Linked DNA regions of Chlamydomonas reinhardtii. The protein of the gene in region 2 binds, or shares a complex with, the protein of the main gene of each other region. Links are inferred from orthologs where the notes say so. Each region holds a gene or a part of one and is shown on either strand. Other genes may lie near its edges.

Evidence for each region. The genes of interacting proteins can lie anywhere in the genome.
Region 1: CHLRE_06g280850v5 (region 2) and CHLRE_10g418100v5 share a complex: the UniProt entries of both Arabidopsis thaliana proteins name them as parts of the 20S core complex. The link is inferred for Chlamydomonas reinhardtii from reciprocal best matches to the Arabidopsis thaliana genes PBG1 and PAC1.
Region 3: CHLRE_06g280850v5 (region 2) and CHLRE_26g756797v5 share a complex: the UniProt entries of both Arabidopsis thaliana proteins name them as parts of the 20S core complex. The link is inferred for Chlamydomonas reinhardtii from reciprocal best matches to the Arabidopsis thaliana genes PBG1 and PBF1.

What each region holds. Positions count from the first base shown.
Region 1 is NC_057013.1:78,077-82,200, reverse strand, and holds the start of CHLRE_10g418100v5 (uncharacterized protein), read left to right. Parts: upstream 1-1,324; 5' UTR 1,325-1,479; coding exon 1,480-1,641; intron 1,642-1,719; coding exon 1,720-1,807; intron 1,808-2,197; coding exon 2,198-2,313; intron 2,314-2,614; coding exon 2,615-2,673; intron 2,674-2,944; coding exon 2,945-3,068; intron 3,069-3,360; coding exon 3,361-3,486; intron 3,487-3,768; coding exon 3,769-3,855; 3' UTR 3,856-4,124. Other genes in the region: CHLRE_10g418150v5 (uncharacterized protein), read right to left, coding at 203-254, 368-564. UniProt on the Arabidopsis thaliana protein: The proteasome is a multicatalytic proteinase complex which is characterized by its ability to cleave peptides with Arg, Phe, Tyr, Leu, and Glu adjacent to the leaving group at neutral or slightly basic pH.
Region 2 is NC_057009.1:5,091,205-5,098,418, forward strand, and holds CHLRE_06g280850v5 (uncharacterized protein), read right to left. Parts: upstream 3,778-7,214; 5' UTR 3,638-3,777; coding exon 2,939-3,637; intron 2,509-2,938; coding exon 2,350-2,508; 3' UTR 1,941-2,349; downstream 1-1,940. Other genes in the region: CHLRE_06g280800v5 (uncharacterized protein), read left to right, coding at 1-2, 304-464, 680-876, 1,143-1,587; CHLRE_06g280900v5 (uncharacterized protein), read left to right, coding at 4,124-4,185, 4,272-4,332, 4,403-4,519, 4,634-4,786, 5,051-5,143, 5,376-5,438, 5,689-5,916. UniProt on the Arabidopsis thaliana protein: Non-catalytic component of the proteasome, a multicatalytic proteinase complex which is characterized by its ability to cleave peptides with Arg, Phe, Tyr, Leu, and Glu adjacent to the leaving group at neutral or slightly basic pH.
Region 3 is NW_025061539.1:25,766-29,764, forward strand, and holds the start of CHLRE_26g756797v5 (uncharacterized protein), read right to left. Parts: upstream 2,801-3,999; 5' UTR 2,692-2,800; coding exon 2,594-2,691; intron 2,527-2,593; coding exon 2,509-2,526; intron 2,382-2,508; coding exon 2,274-2,381; intron 1,608-2,273; coding exon 1,538-1,607; intron 1,088-1,537; coding exon 1,025-1,087; intron 659-1,024; coding exon 580-658; intron 39-579; coding exon 1-38. UniProt on the Arabidopsis thaliana protein: Non-catalytic component of the proteasome, a multicatalytic proteinase complex which is characterized by its ability to cleave peptides with Arg, Phe, Tyr, Leu, and Glu adjacent to the leaving group at neutral or slightly basic pH.

The sequences.
Region 1 (4,124 bases), on a different chromosome or scaffold from region 2:
GCCATACCCACCGCCATGATAGCTACATACGGTCTGCATTTGAATCTACTGTGTGCAATTCATATTCTACCTAAACGGCCGGGCAGCATGACCAGTCCCGTCAGCACGAGCCCAGCCCGTCCCACACAGCTGTCGCAGCACGCCTGCCCCTCCCTTCCTAGGCGCTTCCCGGCCCGAACGCCTCCTCCCCATGCCCACGCACCGGAAAGTATCTTGAGAAGATTTCCGCCACTAGGAAGCCGTTCGCCACGTCCCTGCGGCCAGTCGGGAGCACAGGCGTTGGACTCACAGCGACTGGGGCCGGCAGGTAAGCACCGGCGAAGCTACGGCGCCGCGCCCAGCCCGCTGCAGCCCCGAGATGCCTTACCGCCTGCAGTTCTTCAGCGACTGCGACAAGTCCAGGCCTTGAACCCATTTCAAGACGTCGCGATGCAGGGCTGGCGTGTCGGGTGGAGACTCATATCCAAATAGCGTTGTGTCTTCTTGTCGTTGTAGCCTGTCTCGCCGCCCAGTGGTACTTGTTAGCGAGGTCGCGGTTTGGGACAACGTCGCCCGGTTGGTCATTCTGTCTTCGCAAAGCGCAGTCTTCAAGTGCACTGAGAAACGTTCTTATAAAGAGAAATTGATATGTGATATGCTGCTTTGTCGATTACAGCGCACTCGCCATCTTAGACTTGTCAACCTTAGAGTTTGTGATTGCGAAGCTTTGGTCAGTAATTTGAGGCCGCTGCCCCCACAACCTAGTACACCATGCAAAATTGCAGGTCTTATCGTGTGCTTGTGCGGTGTCTATTCAACTGGGGCCTTACAAAAACACACACGTGCCAACCTCCTGGCGCGAGCGGAATCTGCCCCTCGTCCCTCCCTGAATATTGTTCAGATGCAATGCAACACCGCTCAAGACAGGCACACTGCAATAGTTGTGTGCATTGCGATCGTTGATGTGCTGTCATGACCAGGCGTCATAATCGACCAGACCACCACCAGCCCTATACGCAAACGCTCATTCCCCCCGCTTAATCAACGTACATCCTACTTTGCAGATGTACCACCGACGTGAAGCCCATCCCCTGAATTCCCTGAACGCTTGGACATTCAGCGTGCGAAGCATGCCTGCAGTGACGGGAACACCCAAGAGCGGCCACACTGATGGACCCACGGGCGCAGAGTGTTATTCCAGGCTATCTTGGAAAAGCGGAGGGGGACTTGAAGGGCTTCGGGGGCTTTGGCGTGAGCAGTTGGCGTGGCACCTGGATGCGTGCCTGGATGAGCAGGGGGCTCTCGTGATGTCGAGACCGCAGGCGCATCCCCGGCAAACCGCGAACTTAGGCCACTACGCTTACATTGTTTTTGATACATAGGCTCTAGAAAACTGCTTGGGATAAATAACAAACACAGATCTTTGCCAGACTTTTGGCCCTGCTCGTTTGCTCTGCTGCTTTAATCCACTAACGTGTCCCTCCAGCTCAATACATCACCATGTCGCGGAGATATGATTCCCGCACAACGATTTTCAGCCCCGAGGGGCGCCTTTACCAAGTTGAGTATGCCATGGAGGCCATTTCCAACGCCGGTGCGTCCATTGGCCTGCTGGCGAAGGATGGAGTCGTCCTGATTGCGGAGAAGAAGATCACATCCAAGGTAACTAGGCGGGCTCGCATGGGATCGCGCCCAATTTCCAGGGCTGGCGCTAACTTGCATCGTCTTTCGGTCGCGTAGCTCCTAGACACGCACGCGGTGGGTGTGCGCCGAGAGAAGATGTACCGGATAGACAACCACATCGCCTGCTCGGTGGCGGGTATCACAGGTGGGGGCGGGTGGGGTCTGGCGGGTTCGCGTGCTGCGTGGGCTTGACCCAGTTGCAGATGCAGCATGGCCGTTGAGGTGGCATGTGCGACTGTTGTAGCGCAGGGTTACTGGCATCTGTGTATCTGCCGTTGTGGCATGCGGGAAGCTCTGGTTTCATTTCGACTCGGTTCTATTTGTGTGACGCTTGGTCAACACCGCGCTTCCACCGGCGGAGGACTGCGTGTCTGGCGAGCAATTGTCTCCGCCGATGTGGCTATGAAGGCCATCTGGATGGAAGCGTGGGGTCGGTGCGCATCTCCCGAAGACCCGAACTAACCAGCACTTTCCCCTTCACATTTCCCTTCACATTCCCCTGCCCCCTCCACCTCTTCCCCCTCTTCCTCTCCAGCCGACGCCAACATCCTGATCAACACGTGCCGCCTGGCCGCCCAGCGCTACCTGTTCGCCTACCAGGAGCCCATGCCGGTGGAGCAGCTGGTGCGCACCGTGTGCGACACCAAGCAGGTGAGAAACAACGGGCGGTGGCGGGGTGGGGAGGGGCGGGGGGATTCTTTGCCGAGCCCCGCGAATTAGTCCCGTCATCAGGGGGAGTGTTTGAGGATACGTTATATACACAATACTAGGGGTGGCGCCGCCGCACTGCACCAACCTGCTACCCGGCTTTTGCCCTGTTGGATTGCTGCCCGATGCGGCCTGAGCAGGACCTGACGACCCGTGTCCCTGCCGTTCCACCACCCCACCCCACCCCGCCCGGTGCTTTTACTCTGTTCCCGTTCCCTAACCGTGCAACCCCACCCCCACACAGGGGTACACCCAGTTTGGAGGGCAGCGGCCGTTCGGTGTGTCGCTGCTGTACGCTGGCTGGTGAGCGCACAGTGGGGGAGGGGGCGGGGCCTGGCCGTGTGTGGAGGCGCCGCTGGGGGAGGGGGGTTTGCAGCGTGCGGTGTGCACAGAGCGGAGGGCGTGTGACGGGCGGACGGCGTCGTGTGGACCGCGTGCAGGGGTCGGGGCGATGTGCTAGCTGCCCGGGTGCTAGGGCTGGAGTCTTGCGCGGGGGACCACGTGGCGTGAGCAGGCAGCAGGACGGCAACGGCCCATGACTGCTGGACCTGGCCTCACACACCCTACCCCGCAGGGACGAGCACTACGGCTTCCAGCTGTACCAGTCCGACCCCAGCGGCAACTACGGCGGCTGGAAGGCGGTGGCCATTGGCGCCGGACACCAGGCCGCCAACAACCTGCTCAAGAGCGACTTCAAGGTAAGGAGGGTGAGGGAGGGGGTTAGGAGCGGGCATGTAATCGCCCAACTAATCCTGTGTGCAGTCGAGTATCGTCCCACATGCATCGCCACCACCTGCTCACCAACCACATGTACCCCTCCCACCTCCCGCAGTCTACCTCATACAAAGTACCTCCCACCCTCCCGCTTGCCCTCCGCCAGTCCCGCGCTGCCTCTCGCTAACCTCGCAAGCCCCCCCTTCACTTCATACTTGTAACTTTAGCACTCCGTTCTCCACATGAACGGCTACCCCCCGCCCCCCCCCCCTGCAGGAGGACCTGCCCCTGTCTGAGGCCATCCCCTTCATCATCAAGGTGCTGGCCAAGTCCATGGACACCAGTCTGGCGCCCGACAAGGTGGAGCTGGCCACCATCAGCCGCGATGCAGCCAGCGGCAAGGTGAGGGAGGAGGACAGCGAGGGAGGGAGGGAGCGAGGGACGGAGAGAGGGCTGTGCTCACCATCCCCGGTTTTATACATGAGATGCGATGGGTATGTACGTGTCACGAGGTTTGCAACTGGGATGTGGGGCCTTGGTTTAGTGGCAAGGCGACAGGTTGGGTCGCCCCCCTACCTCGTGCCTCCATCGCTGAGGCTGGCAGCTCACATCCCACTGCCAACTCGCTCTCACTCCTGTCCCGCCCCTGTCCTGCCCCTCCCCCGCCTCCCCCTCATGCTTCAGGTGGTGTACAAGATCTATGACGCCCCCGAGCTGACGCCGCTGCTGGACGCAGCGAACGCCGAGAAGGAGGCGGCGGCGCAGAGCTGAGCGGGCTGAGCATGAGAAGGACGTGGCAGGAGTCGAGGGCACGAAGGAGAGGGGGGTCAGGCTGTGGTGACTGCAGGGCGGCGGGGAGGCTGGACTAAGCCGGTGCAATGTTTGGAGGGGTAGTGCGGTGATGCGCGGGAGTGTACAGGTTGGGTACCACGGTGGTTGCCCGGGCGGCGGGGCGCAGCCGTGTGTCCGTATGCTAGTACAGTATGCAGAAGTGTCATAGCAGCGGTGGTGGTGCGGTTGTGGTGGTAGTGAGGGTGCAC
Region 2 (7,214 bases):
GGGTGAGAGTGACTGGCTGGCTGGCTTGGCGGGTGGTGGCTGGGGAGGGTGGGTGGGCGCCGGGGCTGAGGGGCGTGCGGGGCTCAGCGGGGCCCAGGCGAGGTGGGTCGACTGAGGCCGGGTGGGCGATCAGGAGCGTTTTCGGTGCAGGCGGTGCTCAAGGCCTGCGCCAATCCGGATTGCCCCGTGTGACGGCCGTCCCATCGTTATACTGCACCCATACTATTCTCCGCGCACTTATGCCCCTCCCTCTCCCCCTGATGCCCCCTTCCCCCTGATGCCGCCTCCCGCTCTGCCATGCAGCCGAGTGCTACCGGCAGTCCATCGCGCACCTCAAGGCCATGCAGCCGCCCAGCAAGCGGCGCATCGCCGAGGTGCAGTACAAGCTGTCGCTGTCGCTCACCTTCATGGAGCAGCCGGACCAGGCGCTGGCGCAGACGGAGGAGGCCATCGGCTCGCTGGAGGTGCGGGGCTGGGCGGCAGAGGGGCTTTGGGGGGCGGGTCACATCTGGGCTGTCGCTGGGGCTGGCGAGCTAGGCGCGTGCGGGTGGCTGGAAGGAGGGAGAGGGGTTACGAGAAGTCGGGGTGCTGGACATCATGCGCCTTTCAGGCAGGGGCTTTCGTGAAGGGGGCCTAACGCCGGTCACTCACGTCGTCCCGCGCTGCATATCCCACACAGGCCGCGGCCGGCGAGATTGAGGAGAAGCTTGCGGCGCTGCCCACGGACGGCAGCGGCGGCGAGGAGGCGGAGGAGGAGGGCCGGCGGCTGCAGGAGACCGCGGACGACCTGCGGGCGGTCATGACGGAGCTGACCCACAACTGCGAGGGGCTGCGCGACACCATCAAGCACAACAACTCACTCAAGGAGGCGCTCAGGTGGGGCCAGCGGGTCGGGTGGGCGGAGGCTGACGGGGGCCAGAGTGCAGTTGTGGCCGGGAGCGGGGGGGCTGTGCTACATTCGCATGGGCCTGCGCGGAGCGATTGTGGGCAGAGGGGCTGCGCTACTTATGGCGTGGGTCCGGCGTTGCAGGCGACACTCTGGCAGACCTGGCTGTCGCCCGTAGGTGCTCCTGCTTTCACAGCACGTTCAGACGGTAACCCGCTTCACCTGTGCGACCTGTGTGTCCCGGTTTCCCGCGCAGGCAAGCGTTCATCAAGGCGAATGGCGGTGCCGCTGCCCTGGCGGGCGCCGCCGGCGGCTCCTCTGGCTCCTTCGCGGCGCCGACCAACGCAGCCGCCGCCGCCGCCACCGTGTCTCTGGGTGTGGTGGGGCGGGGTACCAAGCGCATCACCCTCCAGCCCGCGGCCGCGCCGGCGCAGGGCCAGCCTGCGGACGGTGCCGCGGCCGGCGGCTCTGCCGCGCCGCCGCCCAAGCGCACCCTTGCCGACCTTACGGTGGTCCAGCCGCCCCTACCCTCCAACAGCCCCGGACTGGCCGCCAGCGGGCAGGGCGCGTCGGTTGTGGGCGCCACGGCGGCGGGGACGGCCGACGGGCAAGCGCAGGCCCAGGAGCCGGCGAAGCGGGCGCGGCTAGAGGAGGCGGCGGCAGCGCCCTCGGAGGCGCCGAGCTCAGATGCGGCGAAGTGAGAGAGGTTGGGTGTACTTCGTTAGGCGTGTGTGGTGGTGATGACGGGCGTGGGCGAGCCTGCAGGCGGGTTTCTGATGGCCTGGGACAGTGCCGGTGCTGCTTGCAGGCGGCAGGTGGTGGGGTTGGTGCTTAACTTGCAGTTCAGCTAGTGAGCCACCGGTGAGTGAGTGAACTGAAGGCTGAGTTTGGAATGCGGACATTATGAATACAGTACGTTGTGCAGCCAGATCTGCAACATGAGCAAGCGATGCATGTAGGACTCAGCCGTACACGCACGCGTACTCTGATGCTGCTTCAGCCAAATGCTGGCAGTATGATAGCGAGTTTGGAGTGAGCGAGCAGCTGGCAAAGACATGCGTCTAGTTTACAAGCGTGCACGTGCACACATGGTGCCATGCGGGGTCCACTCAGGGGCGTCCGGTGCTGTAACCATGATATACCTGCTGCACCTGTTGCAATCTGCTCCAGGCGGCCCTGCCACTGAGGTGTGCACCACCAAGCCGGAACCGTAGCCAAAAGACTTGACAGCCACCTCGCCCGCAGCCCGGCGCTGTCGGGAAACTCGCCTTCCTCCACAACCCTATACATGCCCGCCACAGTACGCAACACTACCGCGCGCAGCCCTACCTGCGTGAACTCATGTCAACGCCATTCCTGTCCTCCTTGTCCTCTTCACCGCACTCATCGCCGTAGCCCTTCACATCTACACCTCCGCTGCCGCCGCCGCGGCCAGCGCTTCCGCTGCCTCTGCCGCCGGCCTTTTACCAGGCGCCCACGGCCCACTTGGTGGGGTTGGAGAACATCTTGTAGTCCCAGCGCATGTCCAGCGCGAAGGGCTCGGAGATGCTGACGCCACCGGCAGTGGTGACCTTGGCCACCTGGAACTTGTTGATGGACACCTTGTCGCGGTAGTAGCACACCTGTAGACACAGCGGCGGGATGGGATGAGGGCAAAGGCGCAAATGGCGGCAACGGCTGAGATTGCGTGCGTGAGGGGGAGAGGGGGAGGTGACAGCAGTGCGATGGAGACGCACAATGGGAGCCTGGCGGAAGTGTGGTGATGTGGACGCCCGCCGTCAAAACGTCCGCATCCGTCATCCGTGCAGCCCACCACACTGCACAGCGTGCATAGCGCCCTTGCCACCGTTCTAACCCGCCCGTCCTCCCGTGTAGCCGCGCTCTTTCCCACAGCAGCCCTGCAACCTTCTGCCGCGCCGCCGCCGCCCTCCCCGCCTCACGCGCCCCTGCCTGTGCCGGCTGCCACTCCTCCTCTTCCAACCTCCGTCCCCCCACCGCCCTTACCCCCCTGCCCTTCTCCCGCCGCGCCCCATGCTGCTGCCTGCTCCTCACCCGCATGGCGTCGTACAGCAGGTTGAGCGCCTCCTCCTCGCTCATGTCATCCCGCTGCCGCTCGCGGAACAGCGGCCGCGCCAGCTGGTTGGCGAAGCCGGTGGTGACGTGGCTGTCGGTGTAGTGCGTGCCGATCATGCCCACCATGCCCAGGAACTGGCTGCCGTCCGGCTGCACGCCGCCCACCACCAGCGAGTTCCACAGCGGGTCCATCTTGTTTCGCCGGTTGTACATGACGCGGCACAGGTAGCTGTACACCTGCTGCGGCGTCAGCTGTATCCCGTCGTCAATGCGGTAGTCGTCGGTGGTCAGCTCGTCCAGCAGGTTGGAGATGTGCTGGAAGTCGCTGATCTCGCCGCCCGCCGCCACCACGCACTTGTCGTTCACGCGGTACAGGCGCTGCGTGCTCTTGTAGCGCTTGGTGCTGCCGTAGGCGCCCAGTGTGTCGCAGCCCAGCAGCACGCCGTCCTTGTACTTGACGGCAAGCACGGACGTGCCCGTCACGTAGGGGTACTTGGTGTGCTGGCGGGGGTCGTTCAGCGAGCTGGGGTCCACGGCGCAGGGCGCGGCGCCGCTGAGCGGCAGGTGTGCGCCAGGCTGCGGGGGCCGGTCCAGCACCGCGGAGGTGGCCACCGCGAGCTCCGGGCCGGCCACGCCCGGGCCTAGCGCCTTGGAGTGACTCGTTGGCCGTGGCAGCATGGCTCCTGCTGCTGCTTTCTGGCTAGGAAGGACGACTACGGAAGTGAAGCGACAGAAATTGGCGCAAAGGCGAAAGATCTGCTTGAGGGTTGTGTTTGGTCTTGAGCTAGGTCAGCACAAATATATGCAGGCTGGTTTGCAGCATATATGTATATAATGGAAGTGACCAGGTCTTGCTGGCTTCTGGGGAAAGCATGGGCCAGAGGGGCATGCCGTGAGGGCAAACACATTCTGCACCGGCATGCTCCAGCACGCGATCATATTTGTCTTTCTAACGTTTATTTGAACCCTACATCTTAGCAACAACGTGTCCCTGCTTCGTGTAGACACAACAAGCCCGCGAACATTTGGCCAAACTGCCTGCACGGTTCTGGCGCTGCCCAACACGTTCAATACGTTGCACAAAAAGCTCTACCGGCTCCAGCTAGCCGGGCTAGGGCACTGTAGACAGCGGAACCCAGCATGCTCAGTCCTTGAGCACTGCATATGTCCTATTTATTGGAGGTTCCATCCACCGGACGAGTAGCTACAGCATACATGGCTTACCGGTGCGTGGCATTAGCTTGCAACCCCGCTGAGTTACGAGTCCAGAGCAGCGACCAACTTCTGTTTCCTGTGCTCGCTCCCTTTCCAGCAGTCCTGCCCCCGCGCGCCCGCCCGGCCAAACACGCGTATGGGAGGACCTGCGCAAGGAGGTGCGGGGTGTGGGCGTGGGTCTCGGTCTCGTTTCGCGGATGCACAACATCAGTATCGCTGCCACTGCAGGCACGCCGGCTAGAAGGCGAGCTCGATGTGAAACTCGCGGCTTTCACCAAGCTGTGCTCCAGCTTTGAGGCCAGCTACAAGCTAAACACGGCAGATAACTCGCTCGGGGCAGACCAGGTGAGGGGGATACCCATCGGCACACCTGTGCGTATGGCACTCGGTGCGTTGCCCTGTGCGATGCACCCCTGCTAACAATGAACCCCATACCGTCAATGCCCCCGAATGCCCCAGCAGCTCGCCCAGACGAAAGCTGCAGAAGTCGAGGACCTGCTGCAACGGCTGTCGGACATCAACGATGAGATGGCTGCCATCGTAGGCGGCAGCACGGACTCGCGTTCCCACACGCTCGCACGCCACCGTGACATACTGCAGGAGTTCACGCAGGTGTGTGGAGCAGTATCAATTTGCCCATGAAGAGGGACCGCGCGCCCGGCTGCCCAGGGGTTGTCGCGTGCAGCCCTCCTGCAGGCAGAACCAGCGGTCCTACACCAGCATCAGCCTCGACCTCGCCACCACCATGTGTTGCGCCGAGCTTCTCCCGCGTCCGACTTCTGCGATGCCCACAAACCATGCGACGCTAACACTGGTGGTTATCGTTTCCCTGTGTGTCTGCTTTGGTGCCCGGGTCCATTCATTTTCGCCCTGCAGGAGTTCCGCAAGGTGAACTCGACGCTGGGCGCGGCGCTGGACCGCGTCAAGCTGTTGGCGGGCGCCTCGGACAGCCCGCACCTCAGCGTGAACGTGAGGCCGTGGCGCACGGGGGTGATCCGGGGCTTGAGTTGGCCTCAGCTGGCGCTGCAGGGACTGCCGGCGGGCGGGATACTGAACCGGCGGGTGGGGCACGGAGCATGAGGCTGTTGCGACGCTGCTAATGGGCGTCGCGACGTATGCCTCAGATTGGGCAACGCATGCAAGTTGGTCTTGAAGCTGCGTCTCAATCTTCCTGCTGCTTGCGTGGTTGGGGTCTGCGCAGGTCCAGAACTCGTCGGGGGCGCTGCTGCGGGAACGCGGCGCCATCCAGAACTCGGCCAACATGGTGAGCACCTGACGCGACCAGGCTGAAACTGGCTAGAGGCGGGCCGCACTCCTGCTCCGCTGCTGTGGGCTGGGGCACCACCCATCGGGTGCTGCGGTCGGGCTCGAGTGCCTGACCGCAGTAGCTTCCTGGCGCTTACCAGGTGCTGACCACACGGTGCGGCCGTGACGACTGCACCTGCGACTAAACAGCGCAACTAACCGGTGCCGGTGCGCCTGGCATCGTGCGCCCTGTGCCGCTCCACACGCAGGTGGACGACATCCTGTCCCAGGCCGCCAACGTGAGCGGCAACCTGCTGGGGCAGCGGCGCGTGTTCGAGGGCGCGCTAGACAAGCTGGTGCAGGTGGGGTCGCGCTTCCCCGTGGTGAACGGGCTGCTCAACGCCATTCGGCGGAAGAAGTCCAAGGACACGCTGGTGCTGGCGGGCGTCATCGCCGCCTGCGTGCTGTTCACCATCCTCTACGTCATGGCAAAGTAGAAGTCTGTGTCGCAAGCAGTGCACTGTTAGCGTATAGTCATAGGGGTGTGGGGGTTAAGTTCAAGGGCATGGGGCATGGGTAGTGGTGGACTTATGGCGGCGTGTGGGAGGTCGGGGTGGCCGCCGCGGGCGTGCAAGGTGCGGCAGCCGAGCGACGTGCCACAACGAGCGGGCAGGGACAGGAGATGTGCAGTGGTTAGGCGTATGAGTGACGGTGTGACGAAGTGAGGACGCAGGCGGTGTGAACTGCAGTGCGCACAGTGATGGGAAACGGGCAGGTTTAGGCGCATCGTCTTTCGGGCTAAGCAAGATGTCAACCGTAGACGACGATGCAATTGGGGCATGCGCCTAGGGAACCCCCAGTAGTGGACGCGCACTACCGCATAGTGGATTAAAAGGTTGACGAGGGTTTCCATGGACGAGTACAGTTACATGGACTAGTAGGGGTTGTATTGGGGCCCGGTACTGCTGACCAGGGCCGCAGATTAGCGCCGCTGTTAGGCGGATGTTGGCGATGCGGTGTGTCCGGCGTGAGTGACTGGCCACACAAGACGTGTGTGCAGCACTGGATTCGTGGACTTGCGGGTGGGATGGCACTGTCACCGTATGCCACTCGACCAGTCGACAGACACCCAGCGCCTGTGGCCAAGCGAATCGTGGCAGCGCGCGGGCCTCAGCCATAGGTGCTGCACCAGGGAGCAATCTGGTACCTGCGCCCCTCCCCAGCTATTGGATTACTCGCTCAGAGCCCAGACCCCAGAATCTAACATTTGACAAAGTTGGCTCACGTGCAGCTCATCCGGCGTCCGCTTCACTGTACAAAGTGTTCCGGCCGCATCAGCACGGTTACAGCCCGACCTAGGCCGCATGCACGCCCCCGTTCTGCTCGGTCTGACAGGACTGGATGCAGATTAATTTGCCGTGAATGCTGAGGTGCATGAAGAAAGGGAGGCAGCATGGCATCCACTTAGTTACCTCTGTGACCGTTTCTCCGAACTCCAATGCCGGTGGTGTCCTGTCGGCACCACCCCTCCGTCCACATACCATGTTATGTCCTCCCAAACCACGCATGTCACCCCCAACAAACAACTTTACCATCCCCGTAAGTCAGGTAACGCCAGGTTCCCTAGCACTAGCGCCTCAACACGGCAATGCCTTGGTGCAGCCTGGTGCAGCTCACACTGCATGAAGCCCGAATGTCGAATTTAGGTATCCGAAAACAATAGGATACTATTGAATGGCCGCCATGCGACGCAAGAGCAAGCAAAAAGCTGACACGTGCCAGAGGCAGCGCGCCT
Region 3 (3,999 bases), on a different chromosome or scaffold from region 2:
GGAGCCGATGGCGTCGTAGTTGTACACGGCTCCGCGGCCTGTGTGCGTGTGTGGGTGCGTGTGTGGGTGTGGGTGTGGGAGCGGGAGATGGGAGTGGGTGTGGGGAGGTGCTTGGGTGGGGAGATGTGTGCGTGTGCGTGTGCGTGTGGACAGGCCACATCCCCACTGCCGCCGCCCCCGCCGCCGCCGCCGCCGCCGCCGAGCGCAACAGTCACAGTGTTGCCACTCCCCTCACCCACCTAACCCATCCCTCCCTCCACCCACCCCCCAAATCCCGACCCCCCTCATCCCCTCTGCCAGCCCAACCCCAAGCTTCGCACCCCTGCATGTGTCCTCCGCCCTCTCCCTGCCCCCACGCTCTCCTCCTCCCTCTACTGCATTGGGTTCGGTTGCGTTTGGGCTGGTACCTGCAACCCCAGTCCCCTCACCCTGTTCATCCCGGCCCGCGCACAAGTTGAAGCCCCTTCCGTACATCCACACCCACCCACCCCACACAGACACGTCCGTCATATGCGTCGTATTTATCTATCCATCCATACACCTATCTATCCATCCATCTAAACCCAGTTTCCGCCTCACCCTGCTCGTCCAGCCCGGCGCACAGGTTGAAGGTGTAGAAGGGGAAGAAGCGCTTGTAGTAGAGCGTGTTGGACAGCAGCTTGGGGGTGTGGGCGTGGGGGGTGGGGGGATGGGTGGAGAATGGAGGGGTTGTGTGAGGAATGGAATGGAGGGGGCAGGGGGCAGGGGAGGGGTTACATTCATGATCGGATGTGTGTTCTGGTAGTAGCCAACCGCTCCAACCGTCCGGAGCCACACATCCGCATCCACACCACAAAGGCGAAAGCATGGGCCCTCCCCAACCGCAACCCGAACCGCCGCAAACCACCCCACCCCACCCCCCACCCTTCCCGCCCCCCATAATTCCGCTTCTTTATCCTGATCCCAACCCTTTTTCAACCTTGCGACCCCCTATTCCCCCCCTCCCCCCCCCCAGCCCCCTAGCCCCCCCCCCTCCCCTCCTCACCTGCGCTGTGGCTGGTAGCGACATGGGGCGGCCGTGGTTGTGCACGTACATGACGTGCCGGGCCTGTGTGTGGGGGTGTGGGTGTGGGGAAGTGTGACGGCCTGCCCTCCCTCCCTCTCCTACTCACACCCCACCCCAAACCCACCCCACCCCAAACCCACCCCAAACCCACCCCAAACCCACGCCACCATCACACATGCCGCACGTGCAGAGTCTACCCTATCCCCCTGTGCTTTCCGAGCACCCACCCCCGCCCTAAACACCCCACACAACCCCTACCCCACCACGCCCATCCCCACCCACACACCACATCCCCACCCACCCACCCACCCACACCCACACACCCACCCACACACCCACCCACACACCCCAACACACACACACACACACACACCATCCCCTCACCCACCCACCCACCCCACCCACCCCAACACACACCCAACCAACCACCCCAACACACACATACACACACGCACCCCACCCCCCAACCCCCCACCCATCACCCGCCCACACCTGCAGCAGCTTGTGCAGCGCCTTGCGGTCCGCCTGCATGCCCGCGCTGGCGATCACCACCTTGTCCGACCTGTGTGTGTGCGTGCGTGTTTTCACAAAGTGTGTCATCGCGTTCAATGGTAAAGTGTCTGTAAGCACAAACAAGTGTCGTGTCGTGCTGTGTCACGTTGCGGATACTCGCATGAGTGAACCGCTGCGCTGGGTCGTGCTGTGTGGGACGAACCGAGGCACGCGGCCGTGAATACGCTCAGTCAAACACGACACGGCAAATTGCCGTCAACCCCCTCCCTCCCTCTTTCTCGCCCCCCGACCCACAAACATCGTTCCCTCCCTGCAGGCCCCCCTCCCTCCCACCCTGCAGGCGTGCCACGTCCGCACAAGCCACCTGCAGCTGCGGCAGCCTCACCGCCTGCCACACACGACGCCCGCCAGCCTCCGGACGTGCATCAGTCCCTCCCTCCCCCGCCCCACCTGCCTTGATTGCGGCCCCCTGCCATTGCTGCAACACCCCACGCACCCACCTACACACGCACCACCAGCCAGCTTATGGCCGCACCCCCAATTGCCACCCTCTCAATGCCGTCCCCCCTCCCTCCCCTACACACCCGCGCACACGCACACGCATTCCCGCTGTCCCCCCCCTTTCCCCCCACACTCTAAAAGACTCCATCACGGCCTCTCCCCTCATCTCATCTCCTCGCCTCTACGATCGCCCCCCCCCCCCACTCGCACTCACAGCTGCAGCATCATGGTCGCCTCGCGCGTGAGGATGCTGAAGCCGGTGGACATGCGCGTGCTCGCGGCCACGATGCAGTAGTCCTCTCCCGCCACCGCAACCACGGTTCTGCAAGGAATTGGCTAACGTCATTCCACGCACTCCAACGCAGCACCAAACACCGCAAACGAAATGCAGCAGAAGGGGTTCGCGGGATCTGCTGGCCTCGCGCGAGAACTGGCAGCTTTGAGCTCACCCGCCGTTGTCATCGTATCTGCATATTGAAAATTGAGCACTGTTAGCTTTAGAATCTGCAAGGCATTTGCCAACTGTGCACTTACGGGCTCCACGCTGCGTGTTGCCTTTGCCCGTCCGCGGCGTCCGCCTGAACCTTGCTAAGGGGGTTGCCTAGTTGATAGGGTGAAGCGGTAGAAGCCATGGCTTTCGTTTTACGGTGAAGGCAAATGGAATGACGAGAGGGATCTGCTCAAATTTATCGCGACGTGTGATTTGATGTAGAGCTTGATAGTGCTTTCGTTATGTATAGGTACAAGTGGTGCTGTCGTGGAGTCTCCTCCATTCAAGGCACAAGCCCAGCTGCCGAACCCTGGTCACCCCATGCGCGCGTACGGTGCCGTCACCCCCGCGCCTGGCCCCCGGCCTTTGCAAGGCTGCCGCACCGGAGCGCCCGGAGCTGGGCCTCCCAGTCTGCTTCTTCTTCTGCAGAGAGCCGAGGGCCCTAGTGACACCCGCTCAGGCCCCTAGCTGCTTGTATTGATGGGAACGAAAGAGTGCGACGCTACACGAAGGGACAGTCCGCGGCTTGCAACGGCACCATCCCTCGCTGCGCCCATGGAACTCACAGGGCTTGCTTGCATCTTTGGGGAGCGGCACGGAACGGGCCCGAATGCAGGCCCTCGGGCGAGAAAGATTGGGCATTTCCGGGGATGCATTCCCGCCGCGTCGGGCTGCATATTTTGTTGGTGTGTGTGGTTACAAGGAGGTGAGCACGACGTGCATATGGTCCCCAAATCTCGCCAACTACCCTGGGTTGTAGATACCAGCCCAAACCGGGAGCCGGGGGGAGTTCGGGGGTCACGGCCCGCAATGCACGCCCGACCCATGGGATGCCAGTTGCCGGGCGATTCACTTGCAGCGCATCTATCGACGCGGCGTTGGGGCATCTCTCGCCGCCTGTAAGAGCTGTACGGTAGTTAGTTGGACCCCCGCTGCTGCCAGGAGCGCCAGGCAGCTGCTGGCGCCGGGCAAGGTGCTGGTGCCGGGCAAGGTGCTGGGTGGCACCCGTATGGCGCAACCCGCTCCTTTGCATCAATACCGTATGCATTGCCGGTTAGGAACAATGCATTCGGTGGGGTTGCAGCAGGGGTGCCGTGCACGGGCTCGGACCTGCTCGGGCCACCACCAGCTAGGCATGGCCACGGTGTGTTTCACACACGCCACACGCCATCCACGCCCCACGTCTACCCCTGGAAGCGAGGCACGGGCATGGCCAGCGGCGCTGGGGCGTACTAGCTAGCTATTGACGTGCTTGAAGCTAGGCATGGCCAAGCTGAGCGCATGCCACACGCCATCTATCCACGCGTGCCTTCTGTTGCCAAGCATTCCCAAGCCTCACCTTGAACCCCTAGAACAGTTAACAACCCGCCGATTCTCGGCACTCCTACGGGACTGGGGCGACCTCGACATTCCCGCCGCGGCATGTAGGCGCGTCAACCGGCATACATGG